Neodiprion lecontei: one gene and its partners. The protein of the gene in region 3 interacts with the protein of the main gene of each other region in a pairwise test. Links are inferred from orthologs where the notes say so. Each region holds a gene or a part of one and is shown on either strand. Other genes may lie near its edges.

Region 1 (6,392 bases), on a different chromosome or scaffold from region 3:
GATCGTTTCCATCTCCGTTAATACGCACAAATGTTAGATTTTGCATGTTGTGTAAGTACTGTGCCACTGTTAGATACACGTATGACACTGCATGACAAAATGCACAATAAGGCGAATGGTACATCACTACTACATCCTAAAAAGAGAAATTAGCGATTACTAATGTTTTCTAGTAATTAAGTGTGGTGATATTTAAAAATGTCCATCCTACCTTGTCAGGGTTCATAACAGTATTCAAAAATGTATCGGTTGTTAACTCTGGAACACAGATTACAGAGTTTTCGCTGACACTGCATTCCTGCTGTGTTTTAGAACTCTTTACTGATTCCAAACGGCTATGTGAGCATAAATATCGTTTTAATGAATTCTCGGTATAATTGTTTATGAATTGTACAAGCGAGTTATAGCTCACAGCTTGCTCCAAAATGTATTGGCTCTCTTGCTGAAAAACACAAAATAATTTTTCTAAACTAAGATCGATTTATCTACATTATTGTAACATTCATAGATTAACATACCAGAGGGTCTACAATAGCCACAGCAGTTTTATCTTTCTTTATTGCAACATCAATGCCCAGCCCCTCAGCAATATGAAAGAACTGTAGGCTATCAACAGCTATCAAAGCCAATGTTTTGTTAGTCTTGCATATAGAAGATGTTAAATTAATTTTCTGATGATCGCGAGGTAAGTTTTTCGGAAATACTGGTGGGTGATAATTATTCCCAGTTAGTAAGTGTCTGCATTCATCTTTTAGAATGTAATCAGACAAAGCATTTGGAGTTTGCAAGTCATTTTCTTCTGTTAAAGTAGAAGTTTCGAGATCTTCCATCATGTCATAGTTTTCACAACAAAATTCGTTTTTTTCGTGTTCCTCTCCCTCTTTTGTCGGTATGTTAAAGACATCTGTTGGCTTACAGCTGTGATGAAAGCTGTTCAAATTTGCGGCACATACCGCATCCTCATTTTTAAGCAACACAGAGGTTGTCTTCTTGCACATTAAACACTTGTTAGTTAAAATTTGAGAACAACAGCTGCTGTTTATCCACTGTCGGTCGGTAATACTCATTTTTGGAACCAGTTGTTGAACCCTGTTTCTATCTAAAAGGCGCATACACTGCTTACTTTTTTCATAATGCTTTGCTTTCTCCCTGGGACGAACAGACTCCAGGTGGTTCACTATGTTTTTGATCATCAAGTTGTCGCCGCAATTATAATACTGTACTCCAATTGCTTTCAACTGGAAAAATCATGGCAGGAGAATTTATGAAACAAATGTTAATGATGAAAAAAGAACAGTTTGTGTGATATAAAATTCAAGCTTCAGTTATCCTTAAAATATTTACCAAATTATAGTAGTAGTTATATTGATGAAATGGGTTCCTGGGTGTAAATAGAAACAATACTGGTCCATCCTTCAAATATGGCGCTAGTGTGAGAGACTTGGTGCCTGGGGGTTGCAGCCAAAGAGTAGCTTGATGCAGTGCTCCGCCAATCCACTTCAGTAAACTATCAGATTTCCATTCATTTTCCACAGGATAACTCTGTACAATGAATATTTTATCGTAGCACAATGTTCAACAGATGAATCAAAGGCAAAATCTTATATTTATATATTTTCAAGCTAAACTTGCTCGTACCAATGACTCGTTCCAAAGTAGCAACCTAGCAGAAGGAAACTCCGTAACTCCGTAATTAGATTCTGCAGAAGTGTCAGTAACCACTGCGAATGCTAACTCTTTGTTAGGATCTCTTTCTAGTGATTTAATTGCCGTTTTGTAAAAGACATTGTATCCCGGTGAGTTTTTCAGTCCGATAAAATTAAAGTAACCTATCACCACGGCCTAGAACATAAGGTTTTGTGATAATTTCACATATATGTGGAGATAACTTAAGTGATAATAACAATAAACATGTAGAGGTCGCAACCCAGATTGAACAGAAAGAGAGAGAGAGAGAGAGAGAGGGACAGAGGGAGAAACGTAATCAAACCTACGTCATAGTCTACAATCAGGTTCAGGAGCTGATTTCTGTCTGTTATTCTGAATATTGGGTTCATAAATGCGTGGAGGAAGCGTATCATGTACGGTGCAGTACGAATACCTCTGTACTGAACACCAGGTCCTCGCCTAGGATAGAGCATAAAAACTGGGTAGCTCTGAATCTTGCTGTATTCAGCCCGGCATTCTGAACCCGGGTGCCAGCAATTAATGGCTGCAAAAAATATCTGAAAATTAACAAATTAAAGTTAGTGTGGTTTCCACAAGTTTTTGTAGTAATGTCAAAGGCAAGAAGCAATAATTGAATAACGATTTATGTATAGAACTTAGTAAATGAATTAATGAGAACCTGTTTGTGGTAAAAACGTGCCACAGTTTCAAACTCTTGTCTAACGGCTTGACTCTCGGCATCCCATGGTGCGTAGTACATAACAAAACTGAGATCTGCATCTGTGACTCTTTCAATAGCGGCGCCTAAATGACCTTTGTAAAAATCCAAAACAAGCGAGCTTTGGTTAAAGAATGGCCGAGCTGAAGGAGGTTGTGACACTTTTGGTGGCCTGTAAATACATTCAAAGTTGAGAATTCGCTATTAAACTAGTTGTTTATCAGATACGTTATACATGTATTTAATCAACTAAAAAAATCTATGAGAGATCATGTTTTACAATTAAATGCAGTCAAGGTTTCATTTGATGTTTTTGAAAGTAATATTTGAGAATTTTACCGGTTTTTATTGAACATTGATTTCTATAGTTTGACTCCGCTTGCAAGTAACGATATTTGACACTTCCTAAATTTGATTCGGATCATACATATTCAAAAATATCAGTAATAGAACGCCGTTGTAAAATAGTGTTGTTAAAGAATATCCAAAGGTAAAATGAATGTTGAAAAATAATTTCTTCTACAATGTAATTCATGATATTGGCATTTGATTTTTTTTACAATATGCTAGATGATTAAAAAACGTAGAATTATTGAGGTGAGTTGGCGGATAACCTTAACTATTTTTAAAAAACTTACGAAGTGTGAAGAGCAGCTAAGGTGGTGAATAATATTGCAGCAAAGAAACATAATTCTTTGCCATAGTGTAACATTTTCGAGGCTAATCGTTCTTCTAGTGCGGAGCTCGTTGCGAGTGATGTTTGGACCACGTTATCACTTCCTGAATCATTGGTCGGCCGCAAATTATCACCATTTCTTTGCGGACTTGTGTCGCGTTCTCCACTGGTCATTATCCTCGAAATTAAGGAAATAACGAAGGTCCGACGGGGGGATGATTGCCGTCAAATTTTCGTCACGTATCGCGTCATCACTCGGGCCTACTTATCTTTTCATGGGGATTATATTAACTGAATTACAAACGATTAATAAACTCGCGCCCCAAGGTCCACACATATGTCACCTGTGCTCCATCTTTTTCTCCCCGGTGAACAGCTGACCGCTTAAATCCACTCGTCTTAAACGACATTAGTGTACAAGTATCGAAATTTCATCTCCAATTAAATTGAACTTATAGAATGTCCTTATACATTTTCAGGGTTATTACAATACGTCTGCTTCCGAATCGCACGTGGCTTATTTTTTATAAATAACGTTTTGACTTGAATCGGCTGCTAAACTGTCATGGAATTTTTTGATACTCTGCAGTTGGCACCCTGCACATCTTTCCGCTATATCTAGGGATATCCTGACGTGGACCAATGAAAAGCCGCGACGCCGAGTTTCTGGATATCCCCATGTCGTACATCTCATGAGCTTTAACTCTGGCGTCGATGCAACGCGTGTCTTCCATTTGTCTGCTCCTAACCTAGTTCAAATTGGAGCGGCGAAGATAGAAAACGAATTGAAATGCAAAACCAATTGGAAACTACGGAGGAAGAGGAGTGCGTTTTGAGACCGATGAACTGTGAATTAAATCAGCTGAGCAGACCGGATGGTTCGGCAATGTTTATGCAAGGTAACTAATTCGTGTGAACGGTCGTTTGTTTTCATAGCGTGAGTTCCCATTTATTTTGTTTATTTTTTATGTTAGCTATCATCACATAAACATCCAGATTTTACATACCTAGTTTCCTAGATTCACATATTCCAATTTTTCAAATTTATTGCACGGCTCTTTTGTGGTATCTAATATGTACATACCATAATTCTGAACTGATGGTGTTTTCAAATGATCGATTCCAGGTGACACCGTCGTTGTTGCCGGAGTTTATGGACCAATTGAAGCGAAGCTACAAAAGATGATGCACGACAGAGCGACCGTTGAAACAATGTTTAGTCCTGCAAAAGGACCACCGTGTAAGTATTTCTTGACTGCCGACAATCCTGATATTTTGATTATAGCTCTTTAACAGATTATTTCGCTTGTTACGTGATTTAACATTTTGATAATTATTCTGTATTTTAAGGTGTCGACGACAGAGCGAAGGAAACTGTCATCAGGGAAACGTGCGAGGCTGTACTGCTGACTGCGTTGCACCCTGGCATGGCAATAAGCATAAATGTACAAGAACTGCAGGATTCTGGAGGAGTTGGTATTTTTATTGATTAAGTGTTGTACAATACAATTCTATCACTTCACTTTATCGGTTCATTACAAAACAATCGATTCCACTTTACTTCCACTTTTCGTTGTGTCTTTTATTAAAAGAGATAATACTCACGTGTTACGTACAATTTTGCAGTTACTCGCCTGTGCCATTAATGCTGCTTGCCTGGCGCTCATAATCTCCAGTATTTCTATGAAATTCACTGTCGCTGCTGTATCCTGCATGATTGACCGCGAGTCCGGCAAACTGATTGTAGATCCTGATAGCACGCAAATACAGGTTTCTAAAACTTATATTTATATATTTGAAATATTTCAAGTAAAATTCATATTCTTTCACACATTTATAAGTATTAAATGCTATTGGTATTTTCTTTTTTTGCCCAGTTTGAACTATTTGGAAATAATCTAACTTTCTACAACTAGAACCTTAGGTTGAATTTTCAAGTAAAGCCTTAATCGCTAATTTTGATCAAATTGTTTTTGTGCTCTGTCAACAAATTTTAAGGAGAGACGAGAAAGATCACAACTTTCTTCATGTATTGTCCTTTATATGTTTCTAAATGTTAATCAGAGCAGAAATGACAAACCAGCGAATTTTGTCTAATTTTACTTTCTGAGTCTCAGAACACCTAGTTGAGTCAATTTCGTAATTCAAAAGTGTGGTATTTGTTTTAAATATTACCTTCATGTATAAATATTTCCTTTAATCCGAACTTTATGGAGTTATAATTTTGAAGTATGAGCATTAGTTTTGAAGGACGCTGGGCCTAAAACAACAAAAAATGACGTATTATTATTGTTACTTTGTTTCAATTCCTTTCAATTACTTATCATACGTAATTCTAATATATTTGATAATAATTGAAAATTGCAGCAGGCACGGGTCACGTTCACGTATGTTTTCGAGGGTATAAAAAAGGACTTGGTGTCTTGCCACACAACTGGTCGATTCTCGGAGAACGAGCTGATGGAATCTCTAGAAAAGTGTCGAGCAGCAAGCCAGAACATCTTCGATTTTTATAGAAACATAGTTGAACAATACGCGATTAAATTATGAGCATATTTGCATGCGATAAATTTATCGACGTCGAATTCGCACCCGTAAATTGCTGAAAAATCCAATGATTCAATTCTATAACTAGCACTTTACGTATATTTCCGAGCAGTGGGAGATCGATTGTATGTATATAAAAATAATTAGGCGGTGGTATACTCGATCCGTTTCGAGCTGAGGAATTTAATAACACCGGTTAAAACGGCCTCCGCGGTGCAGGTGATTCGGTACAGCGAAATAGCGATCGTAACTTTGATTCCATTAAATACAATAAGGCTACCAGGAATACTGACTGAACTACGTTTAGCCGCGAGGTTTCCCCCCGGGGGCCCGAAGCTGCGGCGCAGTCTTGCTGACCATTAACAAGAAGCGAAGCAATTTATGGTACGGTTCGCTCATTCCCACTTTATTATTTCTCGTCGTAGCTGAGTAGATGTTTCTCTGCTGCAGTCGCCGGTTTCGTTTTGCTTACCGAACAGCCAGATACAGCGTCAGCTTACAGACATCCTGGCGAGATGCTTCGCATCGAAATTCTGCAAACCTTTCTCATCTTGAGGCTTCCTCATTAACGTGATTTGAATGTGTGTATATATATATATACATTTATTTTAAGCCTGAAGATAATTGATGACGTTCATGTGCGTCGATGTCATATATTTCATAATAAACTGTTTTTCACTTTAACAATGAGATTCCCTTTGTTCCACTACGTTAAATGGCATTTTGAATTTCAGGGTTTCGTAAAATATTTTAACGCAAAATTGCATCTTGGACTGACAAGAC
Region 2 (6,392 bases), on a different chromosome or scaffold from region 3:
ATTTTAATGAAAGAAACATTGAGATGAAACGCGAACTGTATACTCTTAATTGAGACAAATCCCAGTTGAATTGAATATTCAGTTGTTGGACCATGAATTACCGAAATTCGCCCACTTTTTCAGCCACCTACTCGTATATTTCTCCTTAAGTTTGAAATATTTTCAGAAATATGATAACACTACAAGTTACATCAAACATGGAAATATTCGTCATACGAATTGTCAAATCCAGTTCCTTGACACGGCGAATTTGCCAGTATCTCCAGCGTTTTCAAGTTGGACAGAAAATCTTGAAAGGACTTCAACTCCTCTGGATATTGCAAAGTCGCTTTGTTATCACCTGTCGAAATCTGAAAGAAAAAACGCAAATTATTGAGTAAACTTGCATGATTTAGATTTGAAGGAAAAATTAGCACATTTTTACCTTCATTTCCATGTTCCCATCAATCAGGAGGTTTAAATCTGGTTGGCCGGTTAGAGATAAGTGGCATAAGTGAAGTCCTTCGCCAACAAATATATATGCCCACCCCTTGGGCAGGCGAAATTTATCCAAGTCAAATTTCAGTCTTTCCGTGCTGTACGGTAAACTCGAATCTTCTTGACATATTTCAATACTATTCTCTAGTGTTTGTTGAGGTAACTCTTCCATAGTCTTTGTTACGAGGCTTTTATGGTCTTTGCTAAATTCCTCAAATATGTTCTCATCATCAGATTGAACTTGTTCATTCATCAAATCATCTTCAGTAAAATTTTCATTGAAGTTAGTCAAACAAGTGTGCTCTGTTTCCACTTTTGTTATTTTTATTAGTGACAAGTTCGTATCGTTCTCCTTTAAAATTTGCTTCTCCACACTTGTAGCTCTGTCCTCAGCATCCTAAATATTTATTAATACATATGCATATACTAGAAAAGAAATCACGAGTATGTACGCTACTATAACTTTATCCGTTGAACCAAATTTAGGGACTGTACCTCTGAACGTTTGATTACAAAAGCAGATGGTATAGCGCCAAGTTTTAACTTGTATCTACCACGTTCTATCCTGTGAATAGTTCCGTCAGGCATTTTAGTTTGATAACATTTTTCGACGTCGCTATCATGGAAGTGAAGTTCGCAAACTGAGTCATTTGCAGATAACGTTCGGTCATCGCGAGCCAAGGCGGCATTCCACTTGTTCCGCAGCTCTTCGCACTGTGATGTAGAAGAATATGTTTTTCGTTACAGAAAGTGATAAGTTCCTAATGTTTATGCAACGCAAATATATCATTTCCAAAATTTTTGAATAGCCCATAATTCATATATTGCTGAAGGAAACAAGCATTCGCTTACCCGTGGTGTACTAAACAAAGTTCTTCTCCTTTTTCCTCTAGAAGTGCTTTCTCTGTTTTCAGATGCGTAGCCACTCGAGCATCCGCGGACGAAACATTTTCGCGTCATTCTCGGTAACTCATATTAAAAACGCGCTCGTATAAACGTATATAAAAGCGAAAATATGTGCGACAGATGCTTACCAAACTTTCGTCACCTCCACTTTGTTTCCCTGCTGGTTAACTACTGTGGCCACATAGTGTATCGCAGTGCTGCCAGGCGAGGACAACGGCAACTATGTCCATTTTATCCCGTTTTTAGCTGGTTACACTGGGTGCCCACCGACTGCGATTTCCCTTGTTTTTAACTTAAGGCTGGGATTCCATGGGCAGGAAAAAGGAGCAGCAATAGCAGCAATTCACTAAAAGTTACCAGCACTTGCGGCGCAAGTTTTTGATGTTTGAAATTCATCATTAAACCAGCAAACGCAAGAAATTTTATGAGCAGAACTGCTGCTGCGTCAAATCACTAGACAGATATTAGTAACATCTAGTATTAGATACTAAACTGCTGCTTATTTCTGCCAATGAAATCCCAGCTTAATAGCAAAGGTAAAATTTAAACTGCACTTTGTGCGCACTGAGTGCGATTTACCCAGTTTTTGGCCAACAGAAAAACCGAAATCCTAGGGAAAATGAATTCATAGCGTTTTCCACTGGTTGCACTGAGTGTGAACTGAGAGCGCACTAACGGTAGACTCGTATTTCCAGCGTGTTCCACTGGCAGCTCGAGTGCGTGAATTTAGCACTGAATGCGTAAAATATTGCCCTGAATTGCAATTATGGCTGCCGATCGTGAAAGAGTCGAAGTAGATGCTGTGACAGCAACTCTTTTATTAGATCTAATTTAATCTTCGTCTAGCAGTGATGATGCCTGCTGGAGTCGAAAGATAGAGGAGAGATTCCCAAAATTTTTAACTTCATAGGAGTAATCCACAGCATGTCCGATATCGAAGTATGGATACACATTTTTTCAGCTTCTAGAAGTTAACTGCTAGGTATATTTCAGGAAATTGGGACAACTTGACTTGCTGCTTATTAATTTTTATATTTTCAAGTCAAGTCAAGTAACGTCACATTATTTCTGATTTGATATGATCCCATTGATAGACAATTCATCTTACGCTATGTCTAAAAATCCCTAGAACTCGGTTAGCAAGTTTGTTACCAAATTCACCCGAAGAAGAGAACCGAACACCGAAAAAGGGTTGTAGCCGTGCCCTTGACACTCACCACTGCTCGTATACTAAAAAATTGTACGCGTTTTGTCCCCATTTTTTAGTTCCGCTACCTGGCGCTAATAGACTTCTGATACGCACGCTGCCCTCGTTGACTGCGCGCAAGCCGTCAGACAACTACTAGCGCCACTAGTGGTGGAGATTGGCGGCAGAATCGAGGGACATTTTGCGAACCACTTTTAGCAGCTTGTGTAAGGGGCTGGTTGTAGCCCACTGAAACTACTTACATCTCAGTGTTGTAGCCACCCAAAGCGAAGAGCCGCGGGAGGATAAATCGTGTGTGTCGTGTTGAGTGCTACGCCGTGAAGCCGGTTGTTTAATCCGCGATCGTTCAGGTAATTGTACTATGCTTTTATTTTGTACAAGTATACATTTCGCATGACAAAAATCCGGCCACAGAACTGAAACGTCGAGCATAACCTCCCAATAACGCGTCAATCAAGTCTCCGTACCGCTGTCCAAGCCAACGAGAGTACGCGTCGTCATTTAGCGTATCACAAATTAACGACAGTCGAATTTCGCGACGAGTTTGTGTCTATCGGAGATCATTCGTATCGTACTGATCTCGTTTTCTGTCCCCGAAAGCTTTCACCTTATCTGGACGCCTCTTACAATAATCTATATTATTATTATTGTTATCGTGGATCTTGCGCTGTATTAGTTTTCTACGACTGTACGAGTTGAGAATAGTAAACAATGGTCTCTATTATTAATCTGGGCACTTTGTTGAATCGATCGTTTACAAAATTACAGATCATAATGGCAGATTCTGATGACGAGTACGATAGAAAGAGGAGGGACAAATTCAGAGGCGAAAGAACCGAGTCATACTCCAGAGAAGGAAGACGTGGCGATGATCGTCGCCGAGATGAGTGGGTTGACAGGTACGTGCAAATCTTTTACTCTAAGTGAAGTTCTTTTAGGTTCAGCTCTGCGAAGACAATTTCAGATGCTTCATTAAAAACACTGTCCAAGCAGCAGTCCAGGCATTAACAACATTTTTGTAACAACAGATTTGCTAGAAAATATAATATATTGCAACAGCAGTATTGTCTGAAATTTGGTAAACTGTAACGAAGTTATACCATACCCTTAATTTATATTTTGGAAACTGAATTTATTCGAAATAGTTCCAAAGATGCAGATGCCTGATTTTTCTTAAATGTTTCATCACATTATCGTTACTAAGTTCAAGGTCATTAATAAATCTAAATAGATGAGAGAACAATCCCGTATGCTGAATAATTTATATGTCGAATCAAGGATTAATTACTTGGGTTGTTTAAATGAAATTTCGGAAAAGAGTTAAAACTGTTTAGAAGATATTGTGTTCACTATCAATTGCCCAAATAATACTGCGGAGGATCTTCTAAACTACTTTTCCTTTCTTTCCTTTGTTCCTAAATTTTCGATTCAGACGGTGGAACCCATTGACCCTTAACATTGTGCTTTTATCAATTTAGATTTTGTATCGTGTATGCTACAAATCTCTCGTCTATAGGTTTTATAAGAAACCTGTAACAATCAGAGAGTTTAGCATGATAAAAAAAAATGTAACAACCCTTAGCTTCAAAATGAAGTTTGAAGGAGTTGAATTTCAAAGATACAAATTTGCCAAAACAGTATGATATGCAGATTTTCTGGATTTCAGACACTTCAGAAAGTTAATAGACAACGAGTATTTTTGATATTCCGCCATTACGATAACTTCGCAAATTTTAACGTCATACTCAATTGTATTCATTAATTCTTCCTCTTCTATCAAGCCTTGCACTTGTATTTTCAAGACAACATTTTATACCAAATGCACCCTTGTATTAAAAATTTTGATTTCTGTTCCCAGGGAATGGTCGAGTCGTCCAAGAGCGAGGCCCGAGTACCGTGAGTATCGAGGTGGCGGGGGAGGCGGAGGTCGAGAGCGATACAGCCCAGCTCGATCCCAGGAAATGGCTCCGCCGATGAAGCGGATGCGGGCTGACTGGGAAGACCGTCCGCGTTACGGGGGCCACGATTATTATGGTGGCGGAACTTCCTGGGGTCCAGATCATTACACGCCGGCACACCATAGCAACCATCACTACGGCAACCATTCAAACAACAACAGGTGAGCTTGTCTGTTTTTTCTCTTCAAATGCCCATTGTTACTTTTATCACAAATAGCTGCATCTGCTAACGATCGATGAGAATAAGGTTCCGTGGTCATTTTATTTTGTCATTTACATTAATTATTGTCTCGCTGTAATTAACCATGAAGAGATTATATGACGATAATAGAGTTTTGTCCGCTCTTATTTCGCACGGCATGTTGCCAAAGCGCAGCAGATTCACGCCTAGACTTTTGGCCAGGATGAGGTAGGTATTCATTATTTTTTCTTGATATTACGCAAAATTGTTGGAGTTTGTAGCTCTAACAATGAAGATTTTTGAAAACCTCGAAGTTGTTGAGATTTCTTAAGCTTTCCTTTGACTTAATAAACACTTAAATGTTGAGCGAATACAATGAAGGGATAGAATAAGTCTTGAATTTGACAATGATGTACAGAAGAAGTGGCGTTCATGGTTAAAATTTTGAAAATAATCCTAACCAAGAATGCTGCATTTAAAACGTAGTGATTATTTGCAGTGTTAATATAAAAAAAAAAATTGAGGTATAGTGTGGATGTATATGGATATTAACAATCGAATAAACTTGAGAAAAGTGCGCATTGACGTTGAAGTTTTTCTAAAAATAGTGATCAAAAGCGACGATGCCCGATCTAACATTCTTGGCGTGCATGTACACGAGTTGTGGCCCCCTCGTACTCAAATAAGTTCAAAGCACAAACGATATAAACACTTTAGACCGCAGACGATAACACACGATCCACGTTATGTTTGCATACAGGATTGCCGCTTTTGGCGCTGTCAAAAGCACTACACATATCAAGGATATACTCCGTTCCATGAGAAAAAATTGTTTTTTTTATACTTATTGTTATTGTGTAGCAAATTTCATTACGTATTTGTGCAACTGAGAAATATTTCAACATTAATTTTAATTTTAAACTCTGGTAAATAAATAACACCCCGAGGATTTTCGTTTAATTTACAAAGTTGCACGGGAGCCACCTTAAATAAAATCTTTCTGAATCCTCAGAATCCATTTCAATGAAAAATCAATCAAAATTGTTTTAAAACGTTTGAATAATATGTGTTATTATCGAAAATGGACTTGGTAACAATAACATAACAAAACATTGGTACTGAATTTACCATTTTACGCTAATTTCGAATGATTTTTGAAAAAAAGTTTCCACCATTACTACTTATGTGCATCATAAGATTCTAATGAATCTAATTAATATCGGGGAGTGAAATCTCTTGAAGTCCTTGAAGTAGTTAATACTTTGATAGATCTTTCAAAATCAGCAGTAAATCACATGAAATCGTTTGACATCCTCTTGAAAATGTCTTCATTACATAAATGTTTATTTATGTATTCATATCGACGGGACGGGTCCAATTACATAATATATATACTAAAATAATCCAGGCCTTTAGTTGCCGTTAATAGTATTACAACGATAGGCATGATGCTTTAAATTCTAGATACAACTTGGGAAAGCCTCAGTTATGTTGAAATATGCATTTAGATTTCGTCTTAATGTGGTAAAAATTAGGATTATAAGTGTCAAGTCGATCCGTATATTTATTGCACATACTCGCAAGTCGCTCGCATGGTGAAGCGAGGGGTGAATTGGTATCCATTGCAAAAAGAAAGACCGTTACGATCATTGTCTCTTAGGTA
Region 3 (6,392 bases):
TCGTAAAATATGACCAATGCAAGTTAGAGCAAGTGATTTAACGCTAACTCGAAACATTTTGTCAGGTATCAATTGACCAGGAATTCCAGTCAGCAGAAACGACGACACCAAGTATCGACAACAATATTTTAGTGGTACGTCCGCGTCAGTGAACATTCCTATGTCACATTCGTGATATAGAACTCCGGACGATGTTCTATGCAAAGATGTTACGGACGATGATACCTCGTCCAAGTACTCGTCTTCTTTAGATTGTAAACTCGGCAAACTAAGATCAGGCGAACGCTCCGCCTTCCCAATATCACTTCCAGTGTCGCTCTCTTCCTCGATTCCCTCACCTTGAAGTAATATTCTAACTTCAACATGCATTACATAAGAAACACACAAATGTATGAGATTATATTATCATGCTACGAACATCATTTTTATTCCTACATCGCCAGCACAATCGCTGTTTTAGTTGTGTCTATTAAATCGTTATAATCTTACTGTCAAGAGATCCGATGATCAGGCTGCTGTAATTCTCCAAAGACTTTTCCTTTTTCCCTATGACTTGATTGGTGTCGGCTTGTTTGATATGGGGTCGTTGAATCACTGGTAATACATTCTCCGAATCAACAATCCATTTCTCTACGGTTGGTTTAATTTCAGGAATATCTGGATCGAAAAGATTTAATGTCGAATCCAAATTTCTTCCAGATATTGTTACATTGGAACCACTCATCGGTCCCAAAGAAAGGCGGGCTGTATTTTCATTCATTGCTATCCTGCTCCGTGTAATCCCTTGACAGGAAACCAAGATCGGAACCAATTCTTTTAAAGGGAATTGTAGTAATTGAGCCAAGGTCTCCAACGCTGCATTGACGACATTGTGATCGGAATGCCACCTGGCAAAGTGTAGACATAGCTCATACACCTGTATAAAGCTATGAAGGGGGACGTCAGGTTGGCTCAAATTTGATGTTTCATCAATATGAGGTATTATTATCCTTAGACAGCCAAATACTCCAATTACCGTTGTAACACGGTCTTCGTCATCAGTTATTGGCACAAGAGTATCTAATCAAGAGATAAGTAAGTTCCGTTTAGGATTCTGAGAGGGTAAACTTCCTAACAATTAATAATATCCTTATTTTGATACAACACAGATGAAAATACAAGGTTCAAATTTGTAGCGCTAATGTAACAGCGTATCAAAGGTAAAAAGTTTAGTTGTTTCAACAACCAAAGGCTGAAGGAATGATTGTGGTTGTTAAATTGTCTCTCTGTGTATTTGTTACATTAGCATTCCAAATTTTAAACTCATGGCCTCAAAGGTTCATAGACTATGTAGCATAGAATGCTACAGTTTGATCTAGAAGCGAAAGTGTCACACGCAAATTAGGTGATTAAAAAATCTTCCTCACCTATCATATACTGTAAAACGTGCAATAAGAAAGCCTGAGGATTTCGAGAGTTCAAGCAAGTCGTAAGAATCATATTAGCTGCTGTTCTGCGGAATACAGCCTGTGTTGAAGGTATGTTTTGACAGAATGCATTGAGTAGAGTCTGAAAATTATAATTATCATGAAAACCAAATGTTCAACGGGACAATTTAACATCCTGTCGGCCTCATAGCATATACCGAAGCCAATTTCGCAAATAAAGCGATGTCTAATCTACTGGAAGATAAGCATACTCTGAAATTGGGTGACAATTCAAAATATTGATGTGAAAAGAGGCTCGCCATTGTGTTTAATACGGGTTCAAACACATGAGCTACAGCACCATATAGATTGTGTGTTATATGAATGGGAGATGAATCGCCGATTATTAATTGCACAGCAATCGCGTTTATTGATTATTTTATTCTGTGACGAGAGTCTAGATTTTTTTTTCTAAAATTTGCTAAGGCTAAATGTGAGTAAAGAACACACTCATTTAAATATGGCGTAGTATCCAGATGAACAAATTTCGTATTTTGTTTCAATTTATTTACCTTCACATTGCTATCTGTTGTAAAATTCCCCAGAGTTTTCAAAATCAATGGTAAAGAATTGGCTAGTGTCTCGATAACAGATTCTTCGGAACGCTGAGCAATAGCTACAATGCAAGGTATCAGATTTGCCACGTAAGCCTTTCCTTTCAGCGGCCGGATCATGTGCCCCAGCTGCGCGAACCTCCATAGTGCAGTTCTTAATGTTCGGGCAGTACCGTTCTTTTTTATTTCGCAATATAACACGATTTGTACCTTCACTATGTTGCCATCTGTCATAGCCTGACAATAAGAAGAACTATTATCAAATAGAAGCAGAATTAATTCGTTATATACTTAGCCTCGGTGCCTAGCAAATTCAGTAATTTCTTGTAGTTTTTATCATTAATTTTCAGTCGTTTTCACCATTGGGCAAGAAAGTTTGTAAAAATACTGCACAATGCAACTGGATAATATGCAAAATCTTCGATAACAGCATTATTCATTTTGCAATAACTTATTCTTCAAATTCCTTAACTTCCTCTTAGAATTTTAAAACCTTATGTATACCGTACAATGCAAAATTAAATTTAATCGTTTTTTAAATTCTACTGCAAGATTCCAGTAAAATATAATAATCCTGACTAACTTGATCAAAGGACTATTCCACTTCTTCTATCATAATCAACAACTGATGGAGATTTTATGAACCTGAATTTTTATTATAAAATGTAATAAATGGAATGACGTGAGTCATTATAAAATTCACATTTACAATGAAATGTAAACAATCATTGAATTTCAGAACCTTTTACTTTATTCATCTAATATTTATGTTTAATGCTAACAATTGAAATCATTGTCATTACAGTTAATTTCAAAACTCTGTATAGGGATCAGCCTGCATAATTACTTTCTTTATCATTTAGACAACGTTATGCCAAAATCAACTGACTACCCCTAACTGTTCTCTCAACTTTTACCAGTTATTCCGAATGAGCTGGACACTATGTTGATGTTAGAGGGTGACAGAATCATTCAACTAATTGTCAAAGTCTGAAATGCATGTATCCCATAGAGCCTAAAAATATTTAAAGGCAAATATGGGAAGCAAAATATGGTTTGGGGTCTGTACATTTTGCCTAAAGTATGACAAGTATTTTAAAGATGCTTCAAAGTTGAAAGATGGTACAACTTAATGATGTATCCCCTGAATATGTTTACATCGAATGTATACTAAAATTTTCAGCATACCCCTCGTATTATCCTGTTCAAGCATTCGTCGGCAACCATTCTGACATCTGATTCCGAGTCATCACAAAGCATTAGCAGCGTCTCTATAGCGACGTTAAGAACTTGAGAAAATTTTGGAGTGAGTCTAGCGGCAGAAGAGCATATGCCGTCTGCCACAGTAGTGCAGTACGCGATTTTTTCTTTTTTTCTGTAAACAATAAGGACATTTGTCATTTTGGTTGACATAACCTCGTTGGAAGATGAAATCTCAATTCAAACTCCAATACTTCTAATCGCATGTAAGCATATCTGTGACGCGAAAATCAATATAGAAGTTTACATAAAAGACGTATATACGGACGGGTGTACAGTAGGTATGCATTTTACGTGCATGAAGTGCGCTTGAAAACGCTGAATAGTGCTTATTTTTTAAAGTCATATAATGAAAATACCTGGCGGCACAATCGTGGGAAGTATCTTGAAGTTGCAAATTTTTCAATGTATCCACCGCTTTGAGTATTCCGTTAATCGTAGCCATGGTTGTCAATGGATATTTTATGCGTTATTATACGTAGATATTTATCATTCGTCAAGCACATCCGCTGTTAATCACTAACATATTGGAAATAATTCATATACTTGTGATCTACCTTAAAATGCTAAACATAACAACAGCCGACATTAATGTGACAGGTGCCACAATCATACACATAGGCATAAAACTGGCCATGGAGACTAGAGTAAAGGAATCCGAACGCATATGGCGGAATCGTCGAAAAGTGGTTCGTGAAAGCGATGAAAGAGCTTGTAGTTCGGGATGTATCCGCAAGAGATACCAGCGCCTGGTTACGAATAAAGGGTATGTTCCGATATACACTGCGAGCACTGTAAGGTGTGTCGTCAATTTAGTATACTGCGAAGCCGTTCCTGTATAGTTAGCTATACTGGTTACTGCTTAAAACGGAACGCAGTACAGTATACTGTGATCGACATTTTTTGGCGTTACTTTCATTTCATACATAATATTTGTTTCACATTGCAATAAACACAATTTATTCAAATTTTCCATTTTTGTTTTTAACGGCCGATATTTTTAAATGACAATATTCAATAATAATAATTATCAATAGTGGAAGCTGTTAAATTTCTGAACGCTGTTGATCACGTCATCAAAGCACTGAGAGCACCTTACCTCGAAAGCACCAGTGTTCACAGTAGAAAAATGGCGACGATTTATGACGTCATATATTTCCCTAGGATACTGCGACTGTATACTGTCAGTCTATAACGGAACGAATTTCTCCCCAGTAAGAGCACTGAACAGTGCTCGCAGTGTATATCGGAACATACCCAGAATACATACGTGAGGATCGACGATTCAAAATCACCGCGCTGCCGAAGCCCGCAGTGGTAGCGCTACCAGGCGGTTACAATCCGCGGATCGTTCATCAGTTTCACCGACCATTTGGCTAGCATTCCGTTCGGACTCCTTATCTCTAGTCTCCATAACTATGGCCATAATTGATGCATGAAAGTCATGAATGTATTGATATCAAGAGAACGAACTTGGCAATCTATTTGTTGCCGTTCTACCCAGCAATGAACATAGGTATAAACTTGGATGCCGCGCGTGCCCTCGAGGCGTTATTAGACACTTCCTTGGAAATCTTACTGACTTTGTAAAGGTTGATGTTTTGTACATTGTTACGTTTCATTTCCAAAATTGGTATGGATGCTATTGGACTAAATGGTTTAATTATTAAAATGATGTATTCATCATTTTACCTATTGGATTGATATTCAATTGTTTTGCCCAACAGAATCATCCGGTGAATTGATTTATCTACAGTGGTTTAGTGTCGTGTCCCTGATATACTCTCTAGGTGGCGCTCTGTATTGTTCCACATTACAGATCTACTTTCGGAAAGGATTCTATAGTTCATGCTGGATAATTTGTATCACGGTCTTACATACAGGTCTTGCGACTCTGAGTTTCGACGTGGGCCTCTTAACGTGTCAAGCCGCTAGCGTCGCTGCGATCGAGGGATGCCCGGTGCGACAAGGACACGGTCTTGACCGTGTTGTGAACGAAACACAATACGGAACACGCACGTCAATCGTCAAAGGCTTACTCAAACATTGTAGGTTATGTTGATGCATCCCTCGATCGCAGCTCCATCTGGATTTTTCTTCAATAGAGGAGCCACTCTCTACCATTGGAATTCTATTGAGTCGCAAGACCTGTATGTAAGACCGTGGGTCTGGCAATTCAGTCAAAATTTCAGTGGTGGGGGTGTCCTCTTATTGAAGCACCGATCGTTTCGCCTAGTGACCACGAGTGTCGCTGCAATAGAGAGATGCAGGCTGTGTGAGAGAGACGGAAACAGGTTTGACCTGTCGCGTACGGAGCCTCCGGAACCGTAAACACCACTGATCTCTACTGTGTATAGTACACTGATCTCTATGTAGGGTGTGTTCGGAAATTGACAGAAAGTACTGTCAGTACTGAAAATGGTATAGTCCAAGTGACGTCTACTGTAGATTTTCAGTACTGACAGTACGGTCAGTCGAATTCCGAACACGCCCTAAGTAGGCCTCTTCCTCACTAGCGCTAGCGGCGAAAATTCACAACATCGGTTTCATTTTCGAGCACGGAGTTACAGCCGGAGTACCCTGGAGTACCCAGACGTGTCTATAAGGCCGTGTTCGAAAATTGACTGACAGTACTGTCAGCAATTTTTCATCTCTTTTGCGCTTCCAAGTTCATGAATAGCTTTGACTCTGTCGTAGGGAATTTTCAGTACTGTCAGTCAATTTACGAACACGATCTAAGACCATGGTCGGAACCTTAGATGTTGCCAAGGTTGCGGCTAAAAATGAAACTAGAATCCCACTAACTTCTACTATTAGGACGCGATCATCTCACAAGTAGAGGGAGTCGAACCGGTCCAACCCACTGATATATATATACACTGGATTGGATTTAAGCGTGGTGCCGTCACGCCAATTGAACGGTAGCCATTTTGTACAGATTCTTGTCACTTCAGATATATATAAATATATACGTGATATATGTATGTGTATATAATCGATTGTGTTGGAAAATTACAGTAACAATTATTGAGGTAACAATGAGTACCTGCGTTTTTTGCAAAACAAAGCAATCAAAATATTGTGGGCGATCATTTCACAAGTGAGTATACAA

Evidence for each region.
Region 1: the proteins of huntingtin (region 3) and thioredoxin domain-containing protein 11 interact in binary tests that used the Homo sapiens proteins (3 or more experiments, as listed by UniProt). The link is inferred for Neodiprion lecontei from reciprocal best matches to the Homo sapiens genes HTT and TXNDC11.
Region 2: the proteins of huntingtin (region 3) and serrate RNA effector molecule homolog interact in binary tests that used the Homo sapiens proteins (3 or more experiments, as listed by UniProt). The link is inferred for Neodiprion lecontei from reciprocal best matches to the Homo sapiens genes HTT and SRRT.

Annotation. Positions count from the first base shown.
Region 1 is NC_060261.1:41,969,610-41,976,001, forward strand, and holds the start of thioredoxin domain-containing protein 11, read right to left. Parts: upstream 3,617-6,392; 5' UTR 3,237-3,616; coding exon 3,025-3,236; intron 2,559-3,024; coding exon 2,348-2,558; intron 2,226-2,347; coding exon 1,995-2,225; intron 1,843-1,994; coding exon 1,639-1,842; intron 1,543-1,638; coding exon 1,345-1,542; intron 1,239-1,344; coding exon 519-1,238; intron 443-518; coding exon 212-442; intron 137-211; coding exon 1-136. Other genes in the region: exosome complex component RRP46, read left to right, coding at 3,853-3,961, 4,189-4,302, 4,413-4,534, 4,689-4,832, 5,430-5,612. UniProt on the Homo sapiens protein: May act as a redox regulator involved in DUOX proteins folding. The interaction with DUOX1 and DUOX2 suggest that it belongs to a multiprotein complex constituting the thyroid H(2)O(2) generating system.
Region 2 is NC_060264.1:19,006,234-19,012,625, forward strand, and holds the start of serrate RNA effector molecule homolog, read left to right. Parts: upstream 1-2,783; 5' UTR 2,784-2,940; intron 2,941-3,358; 5' UTR 3,359-3,364; coding exon 3,365-3,489; intron 3,490-4,448; coding exon 4,449-4,709; intron 4,710-6,392. Other genes in the region: uncharacterized protein LOC124294542, read right to left, coding at 217-350, 425-874, 973-1,191, 1,330-1,437. UniProt on the Homo sapiens protein: Acts as a mediator between the cap-binding complex (CBC) and the primary microRNAs (miRNAs) processing machinery during cell proliferation.
Region 3 is NC_060262.1:8,088,652-8,095,043, reverse strand, and holds the start of huntingtin, read right to left. Parts: upstream 3,934-6,392; 5' UTR 3,726-3,933; coding exon 3,640-3,725; intron 3,396-3,639; coding exon 3,209-3,395; intron 2,274-3,208; exon of another isoform or gene 2,258-2,273; coding exon 1,979-2,257; intron 1,549-1,978; coding exon 1,407-1,548; intron 1,060-1,406; coding exon 490-1,059; intron 339-489; coding exon 1-338.